Linked DNA regions of Lytechinus pictus. The protein of the gene in region 1 purifies or fractionates together with the protein of each later gene. This does not show direct contact. Links are inferred from orthologs where the notes say so. Each region holds a gene or a part of one and is shown on either strand. Other genes may lie near its edges. The genes, in order: deubiquitinase OTUD6B-like and ubiquitin thioesterase OTUB1-like.

Region 1 (7,126 bases):
TGGGAAGGAATTAAAAATTACACAGATTGGTTAATTTCCTTTAATACAGTAGGCCTACACACATATACAAAAGAGTTCTCATTCATTTTTTTTCCAATTTGAGGCAAGTATTGGTCAGGTATTACCTACAGATATTAATGACAACTTCAAGGCAAAACATCATTGTTTGGCTTAGTTTTTAGGAAGAAAAATTTATAGAATGAATTCACTCACTGTGAACTAAAATAGACCATAAAACGTAATATAATTTTAGAAATGACATTAACAAAATAATGACTCTGCCACAATTATATTTCACATTTCCTTGATAGAAATGGATAAGTGTATGAATACAAACTCAATAATTCCAACATAAACAATGCTTTTGACCTGCCCATTGGCACGAAAGTAGTTTAATGTAATAACTGATGGAGTTGCTCTAAAGATGCACTATCAAGTCCTTTCATCATGCCTGTGTTGATTTTCTTGTTTTAGTTTAACTAGCTCTTCATATAACTTGGCAATAAATTGATCTTAATCTTCTTTCAAACAAATGAGATTATTTTGCTATGGGTAATCACGTGACAACAAAAAAATCATAAGTGATTCTTTTGCTTTGGATGATATGGTAAGGGTCATCAACAGAATCATAACTCTAACAGGTAGACAATTTTACCTACCCGGCAACCATGAACATAATCTTTTCAATAAAAGTCATGAAAAACACCAGACTCACTCTTCTTTTCTGTGCTTTTGAGAGCTTCTGTGATTTATCCTCAGGTTCTTCAGCGATGTCTAATTTTTCAAGCATTTCTTCTGCTGATGCTTCCTTTAAAAGTGAAGAAATTGGAAAATACACAAGAAATTTAATATTGAATAAAAACAAAATTACAGATTCATTAATCACTTTGACTTAACCCCCCCCCCCCCCTACTCTTCCATTGCTATGTGTGCTTCTCTTGCTTCTCAGACTTGCTGTCACATTTTCAGCATAACATCTGAACCCAATCTCAAAATGAGATTAATTCATAAAGACAGTCAAACAAAAGCTAGTACCAGTAACAGCACCATCTAGGATGCATATGCCCACTCAATGTTTCCCTGTAAAGGGAATGCTCACAATTGATTGTGCAATCAATGCAACAATTTGGTTACAATATACTTTGTACATGACTGCAATGTTTGCAAATAATTACAAGACCTCGCTGTGATAGACACAATGCATGTATACTTTATTGTTAGGACTCATTTAACAAAGGGGCACCAATCACACAAAAAAAAAAAGAAATATGAGATAGCTGCTCAATTTCTTTTCTTTTTGGAGTAAGATTGATTGGATCAATTAAAATGCTTTGACAGACAGATCCTGCAATGATCTCTTCATCATGTCACTAAATAACATCAGAAGCAGGAAATATATATCTTATACTAGTATTACCTTATATGTATATAAAACCTAGACAACACAAGTGGGTGTTTCATAAAGTTCTTCTCAAGTTATCTTCACAAACGAGAGCTAAAATCAACACCAATGAAAAGGGTCACTAGTTGTTTATTCAGTCGTGCGTAACTTACGAACTGCTTTATGAAACTGCCCCCATCCAACATGGTAAGAAAAAGATTATTTTCTTACATTCTGACATACATCATGGGGAACAGCTGCCTTGTTTTTGTTTGCCTCAAGCTCTGCCTGATGCCTCTGGTCAAGATCTGCTTCTAATTGAGCAATTTCCTCGGCTGCTTCTTTCTTCCTCTTCTTATCTCCTTTGGGCACAGCCTTCTTTATTCCTTGAATCTTTGCTGTGATACATTGAAAATCATCCCTTTAATTGTTAATATGTCCAAGTTTTCCTCCTCCTTTCTTCATATTTCTTGTAAGATATTGCCTTCAATATTCTCCTCTACCTCCTTTTCTCCTCCCCACCTCCTAATTCTCCTTCTCTCCTTCTCCCCTCCCCACCTCCTAATTCTCCTTCTCTCCTTCTCCATTCATCTTCTTCTCTCCTCCCTCCTTCTCCTCCATCCTTCTCTCTCCTCTTTTTTTATTCCTCTCCTTAATACTTCATTCACCTTCCTCAGCCTTATCCTTTTCATTCTCCTTCTCTCTCAGGACTTTGACATATGTCTTTTTTTTTAGTTTACTAGTTTGAGCCCCATCCTTCTGCTTCTTGACTCTTTTCTTTTCTTTCTCCTCCTCCTTTCCTCTCCCTCTCACTCCTCCATATTTCTCTTCTCCTTGCTCTCTCTGTCTGAATCAGACAGAGTCACTGCATTGTACGATTACGTACAGTATTACTAAATATTTTGTTAGTCATAACAAAATCAACACTTGCTCACTGCAACCATCCTAGTGATCCTACCTGTGGAGAATCTACAGGTAGGACTATATGGTATGCCAATGCAGTACACAGCACACACTTTAAAAAAAAATCATTGAATTTGAAATATCACTTATGTGACCAAAAGGCAAAAATACTAATTTCCAATTCCATACAGTTGCAATTTATTTTTCATTGGTATTTTGCCTTTTTTTTTAAAATAATTTTTGTATTCACCAGAGGCAGAGCACTCAAGAACTTGAATTTTTGGCATATTTTTGTGTATTGCCTCTATTGGTGGAAAGTAATATGGCCAGAAAACTGTCATTTTTCAATCTCTGTTTTTAATTTATATTTATAAAAAATCAAACAAAGAATCAAATTTACTTGCAACAAATACAAGCCAAGTGTTGAATTTGAAACTGATTGTCAAAAAACCAAGCATTTGTTTCAAAGAAAAAGAGAAAATAAACCAATCATTTCCATTTTTTGTACCACATGGAGTAGTAACAGAGAACAACCTTGTTCATTGAAATGATGAAAATTACCATGATAAGTTAGCAGCCTAGATAGCTGACAAGAAAAGAGTGCTGTGGGACCAAAGACAGATCTACTAGTACTGTCACTACTTCAGTTGTTACTTGGCTAGGCTAGGGCTGTTATTTAAAAACATAAAGCCATTTTAAATCATGATATGTATTGGCGGCTGTATCAAGTTACAGTTGTTGTTCCTTGCCGGGATAACAATTAAAATGTGCCAAAATTACCTTGCAAATCCTTCCGTTCCTTTCGATGTTTTTGCTCCAATTCATCTTGATCCATGGTTCCGAGATTACTTTCAGAGAGTATTGATTGCGAAGATTGCTCACGATCACAAGTACATCTCCGAGACTCCGACGTACAACGACAGTACGCAGTGGATCGGAGTTGAAACGAGCTCGCGCGCAGACTGCACTGGGATATTTTTTTTAAGTGAAAATGTGTAATGTAAATTAAATGCAAATCAGGGGGTGTGGAACTGCATGGGGGTGGCTACAATCTTCTCTGAAAATTGATTACCATCGAATAATTATAATAATGTTATGCTGCGGCCCCTTCTCCCCACTTTCAAAATCCTTCCTCCCGCCGGCTGAAATGTAAGGAAATTTATTGACACCTTCACTGCATGAAAAGTTCTGAAGGAGCACTCCAGGCTGAGAGAGAACTATGATTTGAACAGATATAGAAAAATCAGACAATCAAAACACTGGGAATTCGATCAAAATCGGACAACTAATAACGATCGAAGTTATGACATTTTAAACTTTAAAGATTAACATTATTTTGATGAAACAGAGTCTATTCCATGGCTAGCCAACGGTTATACCACTTAAAGGGGAAGCTGAATTACTGAAGGTATAAAATTAATTTTCAATTGACATTTCATTGATTTTTAAATTCAAAATACATGGAAAGCTGCTAGCATATGACGTCAGGCGTCACAAATCAAAAAATAAACTAATAAAATATTTTTAAAACCTTCACCAATATTTGTTATTATTTTTTTCCTATTTCACTATAAACTTTCTGTGAGGCACCATCACCCCCACCTAATGAATATTCATGACGATGTTCATATAAATGTTTTCTTTAAAAACTGCGTAACTTTTTCGATGAAAATTTCAGGATTTTGCTCACGGTGAATTTTACTTTATTTATACAGATATAATTATTTTCAGGTAGTACTGTACATGACCTCTGTAAAAGAAATGACAGTGATGATAGTACAAACTGGGGCAAACTTAATTTGCCTCATATTAATTGATGCATTTGTGCTGGAACCCAGATCGAAACACTGAAGAAATCAACAGGTGTGCGGTTCTCTGGAAAGTGGGATGCATGAAATGGGCAAGAGAGGCGCAGCATAATTGCAGCAAAGTGAGGGTCAATTTTGTTTTCCTCATTTTAAGGGCACTTTTAAGTCCCTGGGAGAAAAGTCTTGATCAAAGAAATATTTTCTGGTAAAAGGGGAATTTTATGTTTCTAGAAGTAGACGTTGGTCTCTCTTACCGTCCGAGTTATCATACTTCTTGCATGATGGTTTTAGCACACACAAACGAAACAAAATTATCTAATTCATAATCAAATTGTTTTATTCTCTCAGTAAAACCTGTTGTAAATTGACAAAATATAATACGAAGTTGAAATAAATGAATTACAAATCGGTGTACAAGACAGTCTAAAAATTGCATTATGTGGTTCGGAATCGAACTGAAAATAATGCCATAATTGTAGAAATAATATTAATAGTGAAAACTACGCTAATAAGTAGAGGCCTGCGCCCACTAGCGTACCTACGGGGGGGGGCAGAGAGGGCAGTCTGCCCCCCCCCCCCCCTGACGAGCTTGAAGACCTTTTTTTTTTTTTTTGCTTGTCAAATTTTTTTCAGGTACGAAATCCTTCATTTGTGATTGAAGACCTTTTTTTTTTTTTTTGCTTGTCAATTTTTTTGGCGGACGGTTTTGCCCCCCCCCCTGTGAAAAATCCTAGGTACGCCACTGCCTGCGCCTGATTTTCGGCAGACACTAAAAAAAAACACGAATAAAACGAAAAAAATAGGCCCCTATAGTTTTTACTTTGAAACATTTACCCTATGTTATGGGTTGTTATTTTCATATTCGATATGAGTTCAATAATCTTTGACAAAAATTTTGAGATTCAGGCAGGTAAATGATCCTTCTGGGCTTTTTCTTGATTGGTCTCATGAGACCAGTAATAGGCTTATCGCCATACAGGCGCGGTTCTAGGGGAGGTTTGGGGACTGAAGCCCATGCACCCCCGTGCATCCCTAAAAAAATAAGAATTTCAACCACAAAGAAAAAATATATATATATTTGCGTATATGTATTGAATAATCCAGTATTCCATTTTTTGTCTTCTGGTCCTCTAAAATCAAAACTTTACACGCTCCCTCTCAAAATAACATCTAGATACATAAAACATTAATTTTTTCTTGCTTAAAACTGGGTACTTTTCAGTGCTTCAAAGTGAGGGGGCACTGTGCACCCCCCCCCCCCCCCAGGATTCCCGCTCCTGGGTAGGATTTAGGGTTGTCGATCCCTATCATTTCGGATTGGGTGGGGTGAAAAAAAATATCCAAAATTTCCGGCACGCTTAATCCAAGAGCCAAATTTTAACACTGAGAATTAGTAGTTCCCCGAAATCTTGACCGTGACAATTTTTCTATGTATAATAGTATTTTTGTGTCAAGTATAATGGTTTTATAGTGCTTTCCGATGTCATTGTCAAAACTATTTGGGGAACAAATCGATATGTTCGCCCCTGCCCCCTCCCCAGATCGAGGCCTCATATGCAGGTTCAAGTGATTTGACTCTAATACTGCATGTAGTCAATGTGTATACTAAATATATGTAATAAATGGGAAGAGATCCTGGGTATACTTTTGCAGCCTATCTGCATGCATGTTGAGTAATTCAGGAATTTAAAGATGTTGCAGATTTACATTTATTTGGAAGTTCATAATAAAATGCTCCAAAATGCTAGGCTCACTTCTCCCCGGTCACCACATCCCTTAACACATTGAAGCCTCTGAAAGGGGGTTGTTCCCGATATGACATTAAAAACCCCACCCCTGCTATATTCTATATTATACCTATTACGTTATAGTTCTTATCTCTGTAAATTAAAAATATCGCTTTTGAAAGTAAGAATTTTTTCTCTTTCATTTGGCTCTCTTCCGTATGAATAAATGAAAAGCCAACTGGAAAGGGTAACATCATTGCAAGCCCCCTTCTAGAATTATCCCTCTTAAATGAAGTGAAAACACATGCTGTGCCCTCATTTACATTATACACCAATCTGGGCCTGATGGGTGCTGAAATGGTTATGAAATCATTCTCAAGCATTTGTAATTTATTTTGCTCGGTCGCTAAGCCCTCTCGCATATAGAAACATACGGCTATACGCATAGGCGGATCCAGGGGCCCTATTGGCGGAGCAAAAAATGAAGAAATAAAAGGGAAAGAAAGACAAAAAGAAAAAGAAGGGGAAAGAAAGAAGGAAAAATAAGAGGACAAAATAAGAGGAGGGAGACGAGTAAATGAAATAAGGTCAGGGAAGTCTTGGAAAATGATTTTTTTTAATATTTAATGTCACTATATTAAATTTTCGCTCTCACATTGCATGTTCGATGAGATACACATCTTGCTCAATAGGCTGATATGTATCAAGTTTTGAAGTCAATATTCAAAGCATATTTCAGCTCGAACATCGAGCTTTCATTATTTTGTTTGATTTACAAATTGATTTGTTTAAGTGCCCCGTAAAATGTCCGTTTTATGTTGTGAATATATCATTTGCAGCCATAATGGTTAGTTTCGGTCATTATCGCTCATTTGGTTTACCATATCGAAAACTTGTATGCAGTGTACCGGACATGTAAAAACATAGCAGACGACGTTTGCAGACCTCGCGATCATCGTATGACTAGTGGTGCGGAATGTTCCATTGCGGCTTTATGGGGGTAAATAGCATTACAGAGGGATAAAATGTATACACAGATAATGTTTCAGCGTTGATTCGCAATATTTTGAGTCAATTTCCATGAATTATCGTTGTTTGAACATTTAAACATAATTATAAAATGAAAGAAATAAGCAAAACTTAATTTTCAGACTTAGCTATGCAGTGGTAAGCTAGGATGCACCCCTCGTATGCATAATGGACCCGTCACGAGTCTAGGTTTGCTCTTCGGACATCACTATCACAAAGAAAATCTCCTCTGATTTGATGATAAAAGTGCCCTATTTCCTTATTAACCAATCTCCATG
Region 2 (7,465 bases), on another chromosome or scaffold:
TTAACTGCGATATTACGAAAACAACATTTTATGGAAACACCAAGATCTTTGACCAAATTAATACTGTATACTCGCTAAAATTTATAAATGACTCTTCATGTACCAGAGTGACAGATTTGTCTTCTACGCTTGTTGACCACATGTTAACTAATAACATGGATAAAGTGAAAGCTCACGGTGTGTTATGTAATGGGATGAGTGATCATTACATTAGTTATTTTATATGGAAATCCCAACAAAAATTCTCATCTGGTGAAACTTATATAAGGTATAGAAAATCCAGAAATGTTGATTTGGAGTCTTTCAGAAATGACCTTCGTAATCAAAACTGGAGGATAATAGAAGATTTTGATGATATTAATGACGCTGTCAATAAGTGGGAAATAATGCTATTAGAAGTTGTTAATAAACATATGCCCTATTACTTTCTTGATAAATAAATCTTTATGTGATGGTGTTGTACCTGAGAAATGGAAAGTAGCCAAAATTGTTCCTATTCACAAGAAAGGTGATAAGTTTGAATTTAACAACTATAGACCGATATCGATTCTACCCTGTGTGTCTAAATTAATGGAAAAAATTGTGCAAAAGCAATTGCTTCGTTATATTCAAACTCATTCTTTACTTTCTGCTTTTCAATCTGGATTCCGTCCGAAACACTCTACCATTACTGCTCTTGCTAAGGTAACGGATGACTGGTTTCATTCTATGGACAATGGGCAGTATACAGGGGCTATTTTTATTGACCTTCAAAAGGCTTTCGACCTGGTCGATCATGCAATTCTCCTATCCAAACTTAAAGGAAACCAAAACCCAAGAAGAGAAGCAATCTTATTGGAAAGAGTAAAATGAGAGGAACAATTTAAAAAAAATTTGAGAATGCCCATAGAAAGTACAACAAGAGTTTTCAAACTCCCATAACTTGCTTATTTCATAACCGATTTTGATGAAACTTTTTTTAAATTGTTCCTCTCATTTTACTTTTTCCAATAAGATTTCTTCTCTTCTTGGGTTTTGGTTTCCTTTAAACATATTGGTATATCTGGTGATGAATTGCATTGGTTCAAAAGTTATTTGACTAATAGAAGAATACGTACATCCATTAATGGAATTTTATCTGAAGAAAGGGTCATTTTTAAGGGAGTACCCCAGGGATCTCTCCTTGGACCCTTACTGTTCATTTTATTTATTGATGATATAATTTCTGTATTTAAAGAGTGCACCGTACACCTTTATGCTGACGACACAGTAATATATTTCTCACACAAAGATATTAGAGTTATCGAACTCGTCCTTAATAAGGAGCTGGAAAGTCTATCTGTCTGAATAAACAGGAATAATTTGAAAATAAACTATGATAAAACTGTAAGCATGTTGATTGGAACACCAAAAATGCTTAAAACGTCAAAACATTTACAACTAAAATTGACTGTCATTTACTGACTCAAGTGAATAGCTTTAAGTATCTAGGTGTCTTTGTGGATGAAAACATGAAGTGGGACTATCACGTAAATTATTTATGTAAAAAACTGGGGAGAATGATTGGTTATATTGCACGGCTAAAGCATTTTGTAAATTTGTCAGAATTAAAGTTAATATATAACTCAATAATTTTACCTCATTTTGATTATGGTGACATTATCTATCAATCTGCAAACAAATCTCTACTTGACCAACTTCAAAAAATTCAAAATAGAGCTGGAAGAATAATCTTGAAAATTGACCCCGTACCGCGGTTATATTCACACACTTCAACCTCTCAAATTCATTCTATTCTTGGTTGGGACACTTTTCAAAAGAGACAGTATACTCACTTGATATTATTCATGTATAAGATTTGTAACAACATGTCCACTGAATATATGAAAAATTTGTTTCATACAAAAGTTACTCCTTACCCTCTTAGAAATGAAAATAATATATGTTTACCCAGACCTAGAACCAATAGTTGTTAAAGATATTTCTCTTACCGAGCTGCATAAATTCAACAGAATCCCTTTGTGCGTGCGTAATGTCACCAGCACTTTCAATTCTTTTAAAAATACATTTTTGAAATATATCTGTGCTAAATGAAATTAAACCACTGATTTGTACCGGGGGGAGGGGGGGTAGGTGTAGTTTATATGATTTTTCTTTGTTTTTAATGATTTCACTTATATGTCTGATGGTCAACTTTCTTTATTTTATGGTAATCATAGCATTTTTGTATGTAAACTGGCTCCATGGAAGACCAGCAGCAATGCATTATTGCAGCTGAATATGGACTACCAGTCGTATAATTTACTTTATTTTTTACCTTTTATTATTGTATCTTAATATTGACCTCATCATCTCATGTTATATGTATTTGTATGTACTTTGTATCTGTTATTTTATATACGGAAATAAAACAAACAAACAAACAAACAAACAAGGTAATTTGTCTATTGCATTTGTGATTAATGTGATTAAGTTATGATAAATCATCGCTTAATCTCGGTTTCGTTTTTTCTGGGACGCACTGTATATATATATATATATATATATATATATGAGTATGTTTGGGTGAGTGGGTGAGTTTGTTTGTTTTGTGTGGTCGAGCGCCTGTGGAACGTTGATTCATGATTTTGCCCCCCCCCCCCCCAATCTGAAAAATGGATCGACGCCCCTGCCCCACACACACACGCACCACCCTCCCCAGTCGCCCTCATGCATCCATACACGTTCCCTCGAACGAACACCCCCCCCCCCTCCTCATCACTCGTCCAGTGCGTCAACACCCACACATCAAGTCATGTAGGCCTATAATGAAGAGGGCGGATCCAGCACTTCCAATAGAGGGGAGGGGGGAATCCCCGGTGGGCTGCTAAAGGGGGTTAGAGGTGGTAAGTCCTACAACAAACTGAAGAGGAAAAAAATACTTTTATTTTCACAGACAAGATTATGTATCACATAAGACCAATAAAGATTATGTGAGTGAGAAGCGCGGGTTGAAAATCACAAAAAAAATTGGCTCGCATCAGTTATTGTTTAGTAAGATTCTCTTTCTGTTCTTGGTTACAAAAAGTGCTTAGAATGTCCAGTTTTTCAGGTTGGAATGTCACAATTTCTTGGCTCGCCTTTCGCATTCGCAACCCAGTCATTCTGTTCTTGATGGTTGCAGAAAGTACTTAGAATGTCCAGTTTACAGGTTGAAATATAACAAATTTTCAGCTCGCGCTCTTATAATATTTATCAGTCACTAAGTGCATTCCTTATCAGGTCAGTAAAATTTAAAATTTCAGCTTCTTCATGATAACAAAAACTTTTCGGAATGTTTAAGTTTCACGTCTTATTACATGTCAAAATGTTTGAGCTCACGATTCGCGCTCACAATGATGCCCCTTTATTTAACAGTAATTAGCGCCATAATTGACCAAACAGCGAATTTCAGAACTTTAGATTTTGAAAATATTCCAAACCGCTCTAAAGCCTAAATGTATATCTTATCATCAGAAATCACTTCAAAAAGGCTTTGCTCAACGTAATTACTACGTACAAAACACACAACACTTTACGCAGATATATGTTGAAAATATCCGATTGCTCCAAAATACCCCTTTTGCCATATAAGTGCCCTTTTTTGCTTTGACTCCCCCCCCCCCCCCCCACAACGAAAATACGTTCCGCTGCCCCTGCTCCGCAGCAGAATTTTGAGCAGTGCTGCAGATTGGTAAGTTAGCTAGTATCATTATTATTATTACTACTCTTCTTCTTTATTATTATTATTATTGTTATTATTATTATTATCATTATTATTATTAATATTGTTGTTGTTTTTATTATTATTATTATTGTTATTATTATTTAAATTATTATTATTATTATTATTATTATTATCATTATTATTATTATTATTGTTATTATTATTATCATTAAATCTATAGCTTGGTAATCCCAAGATATCTGAAAACATATATAGATATATAGAAGATCAATTATACTGCCGATCAGTGACAAAATGAAGCAACTCATGCAATGAGTTTCTTACTTATTCTTAGTAAATGAGAAATCTGTGTCATTGTTTTTTTTTATGGAAATGGATTTACCGGTACCGGTACTTGCTTTTTTAAACGTCTTTATATTTCTAAAATTGGGGGGGGGGGGGGGGCTATGTGACTCCAATTCCTTTAGTATCACGTTGAGTATACAGAAAATATACCAAATCAAGATGAAAAAAATAAGTTTTGAGAAAAAAAAACGGCTGAATATTTCTGCCGGCTAACATGCCCCCCACCCCCCCCCCCCCCCTTGAAACTCATTAAAAAATGTCTTTGTTGCTTTGCTTTGATCTGATTTTTCTTATCGATTTGTTATCTACACGCCACCCTCCGTCATAATCATTTTGTTTCTTCACGTAATACAGAAACACTTCGATTTTCTGCCAAAAGAATGGCGAATAAAGAAGGAAATCCTTCATCTTTGCCTGTAGATCAAGAAATTGAACAACTCACAGGTACGTCTTCTGTCGATTGAATTGTTTTGTCAAAACTTAGGAGATAAAATGTGATGTATAGGATAAGGTGAAATTTTCTCATTTGACTGACTCACTGAGTTGATTGGACTGGACTCTCTGGACTGGAGTTCCGACCGTCCACTCAGGCCCGTGTGATTTCTTATACACGCAGTCGACATAGTAGACTCCGAGTAGACTAGATCTAAGCTACTCCCACTCACACTAGTAGTAGTATGAGGTCATGGAGGTTAGTATAGTATGCTACATGTTACCTCAAGTGATGTTCATGCAGGCTTCACTACACAACGCTACACCAGTTCGGTGTAAAAATGGCAAAGGCAAAAATGGCAGAGGTAAAAATGGCAGAAGTAAAAATGGCAAAGGTAAAAATGACAAAGGTAAAAATGGCAAAGGTAAAAATGGCAGAGGTAAAAATGGTAAAAGTAAAATGGCAGAGGTAAAAATGACGGAGGTATAAATGGCCAGTCTCAAACCCCCATCCCATGCCAAAAAAATCCCAAAGTCCCTCCATGTAGTAGATTAAATAAGAAAGGTTCTGAGAAGAAAATAAGAATTATAATGTCGGACTATAAATGGAAAGGGTGACATTTTTAAATCATACTTTAGATCTTCTGCATCAAATTGATAACACTTGAATTAGTATTTCTTTTTTTTTCCTGAATTACATGCACGGCCTTCTCATGTCAAATCGCTCTTCTAATTTTCAGCACACTTTGGATCCCAAATATTGTACTTATATTGTTATAATACATTAAAGAGGAAATTTACCCTGACATTAAGTTTATTGTATAAATAGAAAATTATTGAAATGATATTGGTGAGGGTTTTAGGGAATCCAAAGATTAAAAAAAGCTATTAGAATTTTATATTTTAATGTAGACAGCTGGCAGCCGTCTGTTTCGAGGAGTTTTTTAACATTTTTTTTATTTTTATTCTCCTCGTACACAGACGGCTCGCTAGCGTGCAGCCACCATTAGGGGACTTGCAATGCGAAATCCCCCCGTCGGGGCTCTTCAATTTTTGTCTTTAATGAATAAAAATTTTGAAAATTAACGCGACCAAAATGCAAATCAATATTCCCTCTTGGCATTAATTGCCCAAAAACGGAGAAAATCAAGTTAAAAGGAACAAAAACAGTGACTTACCTCGGCTGTCGCGCAAATTCACTTCCCCGTTTTATCCGATCTTAAGTACCTAAACATATGGCCATTGAGTCCCCTGTACAGATCGCGCTAGAACTTCGGTCTCTGTATTTGGTGAGTGAAGCCAACGGAGTTCAGCTGAACAACCAACATAACAGAGACCGAAGCTTTTGGTCTAATTTTAATGGTGACGTCATTTGCGAGCAGTTTTTCCATATGTGGTGTAATAAAAGATATCACTGAAATGTCATTTTCTTAAGAAAAAAATTAAAATGGTTTTTATTGTACCTTCAGTATATCAACATACAAATCCCTTCACATCCGCTCCTGAAAGATTTTTTTAGCAATCATGAACTGATTACAAAAGTATACATTTTGGTGCATAAAATACGGGGCAGCTGCTCGTATGATGATGTCACATATCAAAAACTCAAACTTCCAATAACTTTCTTAATCTTTGATCTGGTTTCTGTAAACTTTCACTTCATTTTTCTGCTATTTTTACCATATTCCATTTGTCAGGATGAACTTCCCCTTCAAAACACGTCGATAGAATGGTACCTACATGTAAGAAACGCCTATAAATTTAAATCCCTGATTTGCTGCACATTTCCAAATTCTTGCGGTAACCGTTACCATAAAAACTAGTTTAGGAACCTGACATCCACTTGGATTAGCTGCAATGAGGTATATCGCTCTGAAAACTTAACACTATTGCTATTATATCATTTACATTAAACTATGTACGTATCATATCTATCTATTCGGATCCATTATGATGTTGAAATATGAAAAAATTACTTTTATTACAGAACTTTTTGTTATTTTCCGTTATCCAAGTTATGCAGGGGGTTCGAAGAAATCCCGAACTTGTCTCTTTCAGTGTGTTTATGGTAGCGCACATTGGTGTTTACATTAAAATTTGTTTGGTATGTATGTGATGAAGTGCTGTTCTACTATTTGAACTGGCCAAGATAAATCCTTTCATCACTCACTAATTTAAATCATTTTCGCATGAAAATGTTTTTGTTTCAATTCAATTCTCTTCAATTTATTTGGCAAAATAAAACAATCAAGAAGTTTAATCATATCAACGAGCTCAGACCCTCGCGCATGCAATGTTTTGAAATCGGCAGTGAATTATTTACACATGTGAGGAACTCGATGTTGGCTCTAAATCACCAATTTTTAGGCTAACCGTAGGATGGATGTAGAGTGAATTTTTTTTTTCAAATGTTTTTTTTTTTTAGATTATGATTATTATTCAAGGCAACTTCCTGTTGAATATGTCTAATCGGTAATCCATTTACGTGTGATTTATTTTCTGTAGGCATGGCAAGAGATGAGGCAATATTAGCACATCAGGATAAACTTGAGAAAGAGGTATTTATCAAATTGACATTTTTTTTTCTTACCATGAATCAAATAAATTGTATATCATTCATTCTCTCTGTTTATTTCTTTGTTTTATTTAGCTTTTTGATCTTTGATATAACATTGACATGGGCAATTAATTGCTATCAAAATTTGATGGCTTAGACTTTTACCACTTATATCAGATCTACTGAATTGTAGAAATTTCTATGGACTTTTTAATCATTTATTTTTAGTACAAACAGTCCACTATCGATCTAGTTTCTATTCATCACAGAAGTATGATATTAGGAATCAAACATTTATTGTGTGTATTTAATATGTGTTTGTATATATTTTCTCTTCCACTTAGATAAAAGAGTCCACCCAACTTATTAGTGAGAAGCTACCACTTTCTGTTCTCACAGATGAATTCAAAAGTGATCCTGTTTACTGTCAGAAAGTAGAAGTAAGT

The links.
Region 2: the proteins of deubiquitinase OTUD6B-like (region 1) and ubiquitin thioesterase OTUB1-like fractionate together in Homo sapiens (co-fractionation; 4 studies listed by BioGRID and IntAct, with this or other methods). This does not show direct contact. The link is inferred for Lytechinus pictus from reciprocal best matches to the Homo sapiens genes OTUD6B and OTUB1.

The regions. Positions count from the first base shown.
Region 1 is NC_087246.1:61,250,176-61,257,301, forward strand, and holds the start of deubiquitinase OTUD6B-like, read right to left. Parts: upstream 3,197-7,126; 5' UTR 3,120-3,196; coding exon 3,065-3,119; intron 1,780-3,064; coding exon 1,613-1,779; intron 809-1,612; coding exon 716-808; intron 1-715.
Region 2 is NC_087251.1:24,697,025-24,704,489, reverse strand, and holds the start of ubiquitin thioesterase OTUB1-like, read left to right. Parts: upstream 1-4,297; 5' UTR 4,298-4,410; coding exon 4,411-4,474; intron 4,475-6,967; coding exon 6,968-7,020; intron 7,021-7,363; coding exon 7,364-7,459; intron 7,460-7,465. UniProt on the Homo sapiens protein: Hydrolase that can specifically remove 'Lys-48'-linked conjugated ubiquitin from proteins and plays an important regulatory role at the level of protein turnover by preventing degradation.